Linked DNA regions of Saccharomyces cerevisiae S288C. The protein of the gene in region 1 interacts with the protein of each later gene in a biochemical or structural test. Each region holds a gene or a part of one and is shown on either strand. Other genes may lie near its edges.

Region 1 (3,235 bases):
CGCATCTTTGGAAGTATCATCTATACATAACGTCAACAAATCAAATGTGTAATGTATTATAGAGATAAGTAATGCAATGTTCGCTATTATAAGAATTTTCAACTCCTTCTTCATCACGTATTAATTGGTTTACTGTAACTACTTTAGCACTGTTGTAAGGTGCACCGCTTCGCACTGCCTTGTTCGGTTGTTGAAATTATATTATATACGGTCAGCGCTCCTTGAGGAAGCTAATAAAAATCGTGTTGCGATGTAAATAATGAAGGAAATAAAAACAATACCCGTCTCGGTTATTCAACGGTGACAATGAAACTCTTCAAAATTCAAAGAGCAATGAATTTGCGGAGGTCAAAAACAAGAACAGAGAAAAAAACCAAGGGCGAGTCAGATGCGAAACGGCTTTAAACAAGCGAACTCCTTATAGTCAAAGAAGTTCAATTGAGGCCCCAGCATACAATGCGTTATTTCGTTTTGTTTTTCGTTTGTCTTTTTCCTCTTCGCTTTTTTTTTTTTTTTTTTTTTTTTCATTTTCTTTGATAATACGACCTCGGTAAATACGTCATGGAACACGCCCAGCTTTTAACCCCTGAAAAGCTCTCACTTTTACTTTCGCGTATAACTGAATGTTCCGTATATGACGATGAATATATTTTCTGATGGAGTTACCCATCATAATGTTGAAACTGAGTATATTGTATTCACTATATACTTTACTAGGCTATAATGACAGTGCAGTAGCATTTGTAATATAATAGCGAAATAGATTATAATGCTTATGATTCTTGGAAGTAGGGGTGGATGGCTGCTCTTCTGGCGCTAATCCGGTTAATAGGGTCATACGCGAGGAGTTTGTCCAACAAATCAATACCGCGTGGATCTAGACTTGGTACCACTTGTGATAGGTCTTTTCTGCGCCATTGAGGAAAGCTTGGCTTGAAATCAGGCAAGTAGACAATATCTGGCCATATAGCTTCATTCGGCGTTCCCAATACTCTGAATATCTTGAAAATCTGATCGATCTCACTATCGCCACTGAAGATTGGTTTCCTGTTACACATTTCGGCAAATATACAGCCGATGGACCATGTATCGACACCTGTACTATATTGTTTTCCACCCAGTAATACCTCCGGAGCTCTATACCATAGAGTAACAATTTCATGTGTGTAAGCTCTCAACGGAACACCAAAAGCACGCGCTAAGCCAAAATCACCTAGTTTTAGATTCCCATCTTTGTTAATCAATAAGTTCTGCGGTTTTAAATCACGATGCAGAATACGGTGTGAGTGGCAGTATGCAATACCCTTACAAAGTTGCATCATAAACTTCTTAACAATATCAGCTCCTAACGGTTGGTCCTTTGGAATACCCTCCATATATCTTTTCAGGTCCAAATCGAGGAACTCAAAAACAAGATATAGCTTGTGTGCATCAGAGTGAACAATATCGTATAATCTGACAATATTATCGTCTTTTAATTCCTTCAATAATGAGATTTCTCTGATGGCTGTACTGGGAACACCCTCGTCTTCACTCTCTAGTCTTATTTTCTTCAATGCGACTACTCTTTGACCTTGGCCAGGTCTTAAGTCTAACGCTTTATAAACAACACCGTATGTACCTTCACCGACTTTCTCAAGTCTTTTGTAATTTGCTAATTCACCGCTCATGTTCGAAGGATAGTTCTATTTGATCTGGGCTATTTTCCACTGTAGCTGATGTGCTGGCTTGAATATTTTTTCCAATATGATATTCTGGAAAAGCAGTATTAAATTTTCTTTCAAGAGGACTTGGTCCTTCCACCAATTTTTTTTTTTGAGTTCTTGTTGTTTTCCAAATTTTTCTCTTTTTTTCTCATTTAGGTTCGTTTTTATTTTTGGCGTTTGTTGCCCTAATAAGGCCATATATGTATATATTGGTACATAAGCAAGTATAATACATAAGCCATGCTTTTCTTGTAAATATATATATATATATATATATATGTATTGTATAAAAACTATCTCGAGAACGATAATTCTATTCCTTTTTAACCTGTCTTGCGGCTTTTTTTAAGGCTCTAATTCTGATAGATTTATGGAAGGAATAATTAATGGAGTTAACAATCTTAGAGTAAACGCCAAAGGTCTCTGTAATTACAAATTGATACACTGCGTGCGCCCAGTAAGGGGTCATAGTAGCGTATCTTTCTTGAGAGCCGCAGCGTCTGCCAACGCTTCTTAAAGTGGATTTTACAAACTGTTGTGGATTTGGGATCATTAAAGATGATCTTCTGATTTTAGACATCGAGCTAGTGACCAAATATGAAATGATTAATTCAACATCGATAGCATCTTTAGATAATTCCCCAGCCAAAGAGTTAGACCAACCTTGTAAGAATGATTTCGAACCACTGTATGTAGCCAAAAGTGGGGTGGGAATCAGACCACCAAATGAGCCCATGGTTAAGATCAAACCACGAGTACCCGACTTCTTGTTTTCAGCTTTCACAGTTTCCACAATCTTTGGTGCAATGATTTGTGTAATTAATAATGTAGCAGTGTTATTGATAGTGATAATATTTCTAAGCTCCTTCTCTTCTGTTTCCAAAAATGGAACAGGAATGGAGTGTGATTGACCAACATTATTGACCAAAACGGTGATTGGTAACTGCGCACACAATTCCTTAATGGATTCATAGTTGGATTCTTTATCCTCCGCAATGTCAATGGCTAGAATCTTTACAACGACATGATGTTGATCTTCTAGTTCTTTTTGTAAAGCCTCCAATTTAGATTGCGTTCTCGAGATCAATACCAAGTTGAAGCCACGTTTCGCCATTTGTCTAGCAAATTCTTTACCAATACCGTCACTTGCACCAGTGATAGCACAGTATTTACCAGTTTTAGCACCATACTTGTCGAAATTGACTGCTGGTAGTAAAAAAAGATCAAAAATAAGAGCTAAAAATCTAAGTGATAACGTTGTACATTTTAAGACACCAAGCCCAAAAACAACCCATAAAAGACCATTGATACACCTAAATCTTTCCCCAGCCTCTTGAAGCTGTTGCATAAAAGTCATTTCTTAAGCTGCACCGACACGAATTGATTGCTTTGAAGACTGTTCTTCTATCTGTGTTTCCTTCAGTCTCTTTTGAAGTTGCATTTCTGCAACGCTTTTATTCGTGAAATCTCTAAAAAAGCGAAAAATAAAAAGGCCTCCCGCGGACTTAAAACAGAACATCCGAAACATT
Region 2 (3,693 bases), on another chromosome or scaffold:
AGATAGGGGCGATTTTGATACTGCAATTAAACAATATGATATTGCTAAAAGGTTGGAAGAAGTGCAAGAAAAAATACATGTGGGTATAGGACCCTTGATTGGGAAAGCAACTATATTAGCTAGACAATCCTCTCAAGATCCAACCCAGTTGGATGAAGAGAAATTCAACGCAGCCATTAAGCTGCTGACAAAAGCCTGTGAATTAGATCCACGATCTGAACAAGCGAAGATCGGGTTAGCACAACTAAAATTACAAATGGAAAAAATTGACGAGGCCATAGAATTGTTTGAAGATTCTGCAATTTTAGCAAGAACTATGGATGAAAAACTTCAAGCTACTACCTTCGCGGAAGCTGCAAAGATACAAAAGCGTTTGAGGGCTGATCCAATCATAAGTGCAAAGATGGAGCTAACATTAGCTCGTTATAGGGCTAAAGGCATGCTTTAGAAGATATGTCAGGTATTGGTCAAATATATACTTTTAGTTAATACTGGATATGTTATAAAGGTTCTGTTAATGCCAAATCCATTTCAATTCTTTTCTTCCAAATATTGTACTGGTCGTCTGTGACCAAAATATTGGTGGTTTGTAACATCGATCCCAGTTTCCTAAATATAATTTCATCGTATCTGATGCCATCAAAATCATCATACCTAATTTGCAAATCTCTGAACCATTTTTCACCGATAATTAATTCCTTCACTAATTTTACACATTCAATAACATCATCCACTTTTGACGTCAACATCAAGCTGCACATCTTACTGACTATAAAATGGTCAATTCTTGGATCCTTGCGTCTTCTTTCATTAAATACAATGAATGTACAATTTAATACTAACCCACACACTAATTGCCATGGGCAAACCAATCTTGACGCGTTTATGTTGTACTCATCCACAATTTTATATGCTACTTCTCTTGGTAATTCAAAATCGTTGCAAAGCCGTATTATTTCTTCAGTAGTCATTTTGCAATACTTCTTTACTAACAAAGAATTTGGTATTCTGCCCCTTTTCCTCAGGGCTTTTGCCGTCTTCAATTCTGATTGCGGTTTTCCAACTGCCTTATTTTGTTTCGTTCTCCCGCTTCTGCTTTCTTGCACACCTAATGGCTCTTCCTCACTTGTAGGGTCACTTTCATGGTTTTCATACTCATCAGAATCTACATTTCTGGTTCCAGTAATGCTCTTATTACTATGGCTTTTTAAAGACAAACCGTCGTTTCCTGGTTCCTCTTCATCCTCATCCTCATCCTCTTCAAATGCTAACTTTCTCCTAGTAATAGACGGCGATTCATTGGTTTGCATGGGGGGTAGTTCTGGTATTACGAACGAATCATTATTTTGGCTTTTCCTAACTTTAGTTGGTGTACCAAACAGTTGATTCCTCAACTCTTTCGGATCAGAAGAAGTAAACCTCCCACCGTTCTTTACTGGACTGCGTTTGTTCTTTTTGGGGCTCGGTGTCCAAGCAAATTGTTTCATAGGTGAAGAATTAGATAAACTTTGTCTGAAAAGGTTCATTAAATGCTTGGCTTTTTTCGGCTCCAAGGGAATACTGTCTATATAATAGCAAAGGTCAGGCATGTGTTTTTCATTCATTTTCTGTGACGCTATGTATGCACATATGTGACATCTAGCAACCTCTTCATCTTGTTTCAGCATTACCTTGTTCAGTGAAGTATTATATAAAATCGATGTCGCATTAGTCAACTTCTTCAAATATCCGCTCGACCAGTCCGGTTTTTCTTGTGGATCTAGTCGAAGTACTTCTGCGACACAATGTTGGACTTGTTGCATGGACATGACTGGTTTTAATGGTATTGTTTTGGCCAATTTTATTTACTGATATTGTACACTTTTTTCTGCAATTTTAGTGTGAGATTTTTTTTTTCAATGCCGATTTCTTACTAACGTAAACAACGGCAAAGAACAAAGAAATACACAGTTTTATCACAAAGAGTTGATTTTTGCTGAAGAGAAGCGTGAGGAGTGTATTCGAAAGCCTTGCATATTCTGGACACTTGCGATTCTAGCTCTTTACGGACGCCCGCATTCTTTTTTCATACTCTGTTTCGTGCTGCTTTCACACAATATTTTTCAAAAGTTTCTTCTCATCGTTTTTCTGTTAGCAACCCTCAACTTACGAGAGAGTTGCGACTAGCATAGGTAACATTCCTTATTTGTTGAATCTTTATAAGAGGTCTCTGCGTTTAGAGAATGTCAAATTACTATAGAAGAGCACACGCGTCTTCTGGTTCATACAGACAACCCCAGGAACAGCCTCAATATTCGCGTTCTGGTCACTATCAGTATTCAAACGGCCATTCTCACCAACAATATTCTAGTCAATATAATCAACGTCGACGTTATAACCATAATGATGGTACAAGGCGACGCTATAATGACGATCGCCCACATAGTTCAAACAATGCAAGTACGCGACAGTACTATGCTACTAACAACAGCCAAAGCGGCCCATATGTAAATAAGAAATCTGACATCAGTAGTCGGAGGGGCATGTCTCAATCACGGTATTCAAATAGCAATGTTCACAATACATTAGCGTCTTCGAGTGGATCTCTTCCCACAGAATCTGCTCTGCTTTTGCAACAAAGACCACCTTCAGTTTTGAGATACAACACAGATAATTTGAAGTCTAAGTTTCATTATTTTGATCCCATAAAAGGCGAGTTCTTCAATAAGGATAAGATGCTTTCGTGGAAGGCTACAGATAAAGAATTTTCTGAAACAGGTTATTACGTAGTCAAAGAGTTACAAGATGGACAGTTTAAGTTCAAAATAAAACACAGACATCCGGAGATAAAAGCATCCGACCCACGTAATGAAAACGGTATCATGACTAGCGGAAAAGTGGCAACCCACAGAAAATGCAGGAACTCACTAATTCTATTGCCTCGCATATCTTATGACAGGTACTCCTTAGGGCCTCCCCCTTCATGTGAAATAGTTGTCTATCCAGCGCAAGATTCAACAACAACCAATATCCAAGACATATCAATAAAAAACTATTTTAAAAAGTATGGAGAAATTTCTCATTTTGAAGCATTTAATGATCCTAATAGCGCTTTACCTTTGCATGTTTATCTTATAAAGTATGCCAGTTCTGATGGAAAAATTAATGATGCAGCAAAAGCAGCCTTTAGTGCCGTTAGAAAGCACGAATCTTCGGGTTGCTTTATCATGGGCTTCAAGTTCGAAGTGATTTTAAACAAGCATTCCATTTTGAATAATATCATTTCTAAATTTGTTGAAATAAATGTCAAAAAGCTACAGAAGTTACAAGAGAACCTGAAGAAGGCTAAAGAGAAAGAAGCAGAAAACGAAAAAGCAAAGGAATTACAGGGCAAAGATATTACCTTGCCCAAGGAACCTAAGGTAGACACATTATCTCATTCGTCCGGAAGTGAAAAAAGAATTCCATATGATCTCTTGGGGGTAGTTAATAACAGACCTGTTTTACATGTCTCCAAAATATTTGTTGCCAAACATAGGTTCTGCGTTGAGGACTTTAAATACAAGTTAAGGGGATACAGATGTGCGAAATTTATTGATCATCCAACTGGTATCTATATTATTTTTAATGACATTGCCCATGCGCAAACATGTTCGAATGCAGAGTCAGGAAATTTAACAATAATGTCTCGGAGCAGAAGAATTCCTATTCTAA
Region 3 (4,068 bases), on another chromosome or scaffold:
GTGTTCATTTCATTGTCACTAAGGTTTAGCACTAATACATTCGGTAGTAGTCTTTGCATGCCAAACATATTCTTCAGTTTGCCCCTTGATAGGTCAACTTTCAGGATTTTTTCCCAATCGGAATCATAGCTTGGAGAACCAGATAGTTTACTAGTCAAGATTGATATTAGCTGCTTTTCAGTTTCGTTGAACGAGGTGTTTACTTCGGAAATGGACGTAATATCTTCAACCCGTTCAGCGGGGAAGGTCTTTAGTTTCTTGTGAGCTTCTAGTAGATTGGAATTAGAGATTGAACGAGAGGTACGCATTTGTCCTTTAACCTTCGCTCTAGTGCCATTTTTCGTAAAAAGGTCATTAAATTTTGGTGTGTCTAGGGGCGTGTCATCGCTATTTGCTAGATTTTCTTCTTCTTGTATTTTCTTTTGGCGGTAGCCAACATCACCTGGTTTGGTACTGGTTAATTCATACGCCTTCTTATCTAGAATTGAAGGTGCCTTACCGTTAGTGTGATTATCTCCAGTTGGTACCATTGTGGCGAACTGGGACTGGTTGGAAGATGTATTGTCCAGAGAATGTGAACTCGACACATCTAAGCCCTGGTTCAGCGGCGGATCCCATGCGCCGTGTGTATGGTTAAACTGATATCCCAATTGACCGGGTGAAATAGTGTTCAATGGAGGTTTCTTGAGAACTTTTGATTTTCTGCCTGATTGAGTTTGAGAGGACGACATGGATGACGATGATGAAAATTCAAAAGAATTGGAAGTGTCCTCTTCGTCCTCCTCCTTCGTTCTAGCGTTATCCTTATTATTAATATTAATACTATTATTATTATTATTATTATTATTATTATTATTGTTTTTGTTGTTGCTATTACTTGGATAAGAACCCACCAAATAATTCGATTTTTGCTTTTGTAATATGCCATCAAATACATCATGTGCCTCAGCTGCTGGGCCAGAATCGCTGTCATCAGAAAACGACGATGAGACCTTCTCAGCGTTAAAGAAATCTTTAGAATGTGAAATACTAATCGTATCATGGTTTTCATGGGTCTGCATAGTAGTAGTTTTATTCTTCATATCTAAATGTCTTTTAAATGTATTTGTTTCAAGAACTCCAGATAAATCCTTAACCAAGTCGCTCACAATGAGATCCGATTCAGGAACTTTGTTTGCAGTACCAACAGCGCCACCAAAGTTGGTACCACCGCCGCTACCAATACCAGGGAAATACTGCTTCCATTGAGCTTCTTGATGAGATGTAGCAGTCGTGCCTGAAAAACCTGACGGCACTTTCTGATGCACCGTGCTATAGTTGTTCAAAACTGTCATTGTAGGAGGTTTTTTGACAGAATCGGATATTGCAGGTTCCACAACTTGGGAAGTAAAATTTGAATCTTGAAAATCGTGGTTACTTTCATATTCCTTAAACACTTTACCACTGTTACTGTGCGCGTTCGAGCGTAGCTTTCGTGGTGAATTTATTGTAAGATTCTCCAGCTGGCTCGATAGTTCTGCCTCCTGCGTATCCATATCCATTTCGGTATGCTTTTACTATTCAACCTAGTCGGCAATTTTTTCACCTGAATATTGTTGAACACTTCTGGCATCCTAGATACTCATCTGTATTTATTCATTATCTGTTGTGCATCGTTAATAGCATTCCAGTAAACAAGTTTAGGTCACTACCCGCATAAGCCTTTTGGCGTTTGGCGTAACCCTCCTCGCGAAAAGAAACGGGACGCAAAAAAAAAAAACAACAAAACAAGAACAAAACAAAACAAATAGGACAGAGCCTTAAGGAGCTGCAAGGATCTTCTGAATATTTGGCATCGGCATTGTGGGTGGAAAAAGTGTCCAAATTGGAATAAATTGGTCAGAATAGAGCATTGATTCCAACTATGGACAGAGATATAAGCTACCAGCAAAATTATACCTCAACTGGGGCAACTGCAACTTCCTCAAGACAGCCCTCTACGGACAATAATGCAGATACAAATTTTTTGAAGGTAATGTCAGAATTCAAATATAATTTTAACAGTCCGTTACCTACAACGACTCAATTCCCCACGCCCTATTCTTCTAATCAGTATCAACAGACTCAAGATCATTTTGCCAATACAGACGCTCACAACAGTTCGAGCAACGAATCGTCGTTGGTAGAGAACAGTATATTACCGCATCATCAGCAGATACAACAGCAACAACAACAACAACAACAACAACAACAACAACAGCAAGCTCTAGGTTCACTTGTACCTCCTGCTGTCACAAGGACAGATACAAGTGAGACTTTGGACGATATCAACGTTCAACCTTCTTCTGTTTTGCAGTTCGGCAACTCTTTACCCAGCGAATTTTTGGTTGCATCCCCAGAGCAATTCAAAGAATTTTTGTTGGACTCTCCGTCCACCAATTTCAATTTCTTTCACAAAACTCCGGCAAAGACACCACTTCGATTTGTAACAGATTCTAACGGTGCTCAGCAAAGCACCACAGAGAACCCAGGTCAACAACAGAATGTTTTTAGCAATGTCGATTTGAACAATCTTTTGAAGAGTAATGGAAAAACACCCTCATCTTCATGCACCGGCGCATTTTCACGCACTCCTCTGAGTAAGATTGACATGAATCTCATGTTCAATCAACCGCTGCCGACATCTCCATCAAAAAGGTTCTCCTCCCTGTCGTTGACACCATATGGAAGAAAAATTCTGAATGACGTCGGTACACCTTATGCAAAAGCATTGATATCGTCTAACAGCGCGTTAGTGGATTTTCAGAAGGCAAGAAAGGATATTACCACTAATGCAACATCCATAGGGCTGGAAAATGCCAACAACATCTTACAGAGAACGCCGCTAAGATCTAACAATAAAAAATTATTTATTAAAACCCCCCAGGATACCATCAATAGCACTAGCACACTAACTAAGGACAACGAAAATAAACAGGACATATACGGCTCTTCACCGACTACCATCCAATTAAATTCATCAATAACTAAATCTATCTCCAAATTGGATAACTCTAGAATTCCCTTGTTAGCTTCGAGATCAGATAACATTCTGGATTCCAATGTGGATGACCAATTGTTTGATTTGGGGTTGACAAGATTACCTTTATCACCAACACCAAATTGTAATTCTTTGCATAGTACAACCACAGGTACATCTGCCTTACAAATTCCTGAGCTACCCAAGATGGGGTCTTTTAGAAGTGATACGGGAATCAATCCAATTTCAAGTTCAAACACAGTTTCTTTTAAGAGCAAATCAGGCAATAATAATTCAAAGGGTCGAATCAAAAAAAATGGGAAGAAACCTTCCAAATTTCAAATTATTGTGGCAAATATTGATCAATTTAACCAGGATACATCATCGTCATCTTTATCATCATCATTGAATGCAAGTTCGAGTGCAGGGAATTCAAATTCAAACGTAACAAAGAAAAGAGCAAGTAAACTCAAAAGATCACAGTCTTTACTTTCTGATTCCGGATCGAAATCACAAGCAAGGAAAAGCTGTAATTCTAAATCTAATGGAAATTTATTCAATTCACAGTAATATTAACCAAACTTGCATCTCACCTTTTTTTTTTAATCGAAATTTCAAGCATTTTTCTCTCCTTCGCTTAGTCTTGTTTCATCCCATTCAACATTTTTTATTACACAACATTTTGAAAATATCTTAAAAACAAAAAAGAACGATCACAAATTTATGGCACGAAGAATACATACATCAATCGAGGACATTTTTTACATTTTATTTCATAATCATCATTTTTTCTTTTCTTTACTACTATTCTGTGGTTTCATATTGTTCGTCAGGATGTTCATATATATTAAGGAGTTTAAACTATATACATATGATTAGGTAAATAGGTAACTATTTTCAATCAATTTATTATAAGTATCATTAATTGATGTTACTGCCAGATTTTACGATATTCCCTCTAATTTCCGGGTATCCCATAAAAGCAATTCCCCGGCGTATAATTTCATTATTATGACATGGCTGTTAGTATGGTATGGTGCCCATCACATAAGTCACATATCGAGTCGAAA

The links. The genes of interacting proteins can lie anywhere in the genome.
Region 2: of the proteins of CDC28 (region 1) and ORC6, one has a biochemical effect on the other in vitro, tested with the Saccharomyces cerevisiae proteins (7 studies listed by BioGRID).
Region 3: of the proteins of CDC28 (region 1) and NDD1, one has a biochemical effect on the other in vitro, tested with the Saccharomyces cerevisiae proteins (6 studies listed by BioGRID).

The regions. Positions count from the first base shown.
Region 1 is NC_001134.8:558,513-561,747, reverse strand, and holds CDC28 (cyclin-dependent serine/threonine-protein kinase CDC28), read right to left. Parts: upstream 1,671-3,235; coding exon 774-1,670; downstream 1-773. Other genes in the region: mannosylinositol phosphorylceramide synthase catalytic subunit CSH1, read right to left, coding at 1-114; IFA38 (ketoreductase), read right to left, coding at 2,020-3,063. UniProt on the Saccharomyces cerevisiae protein: Cyclin-dependent kinase that acts as a master regulator of the mitotic and meiotic cell cycles. Required to drive the G1-S transition. More than 200 substrates have been identified. Substrate specificity is in part regulated by the bound cyclin protein.
Region 2 is NC_001140.6:343,821-347,513, forward strand, and holds ORC6 (origin recognition complex subunit 6), read right to left. Parts: upstream 1,809-3,693; coding exon 501-1,808; downstream 1-500. Other genes in the region: protein channel TOM71, read left to right, coding at 1-448; histone methyltransferase SET1, read left to right, coding at 2,223-3,693.
Region 3 is NC_001147.6:1,034,307-1,038,374, reverse strand, and holds NDD1 (Ndd1p), read left to right. Parts: upstream 1-1,903; coding exon 1,904-3,568; downstream 3,569-4,068. Other genes in the region: NUD1 (Nud1p), read right to left, coding at 1-1,541. UniProt on the Saccharomyces cerevisiae protein: Transcription activator involved in G2/M transcription through its association with FKH2.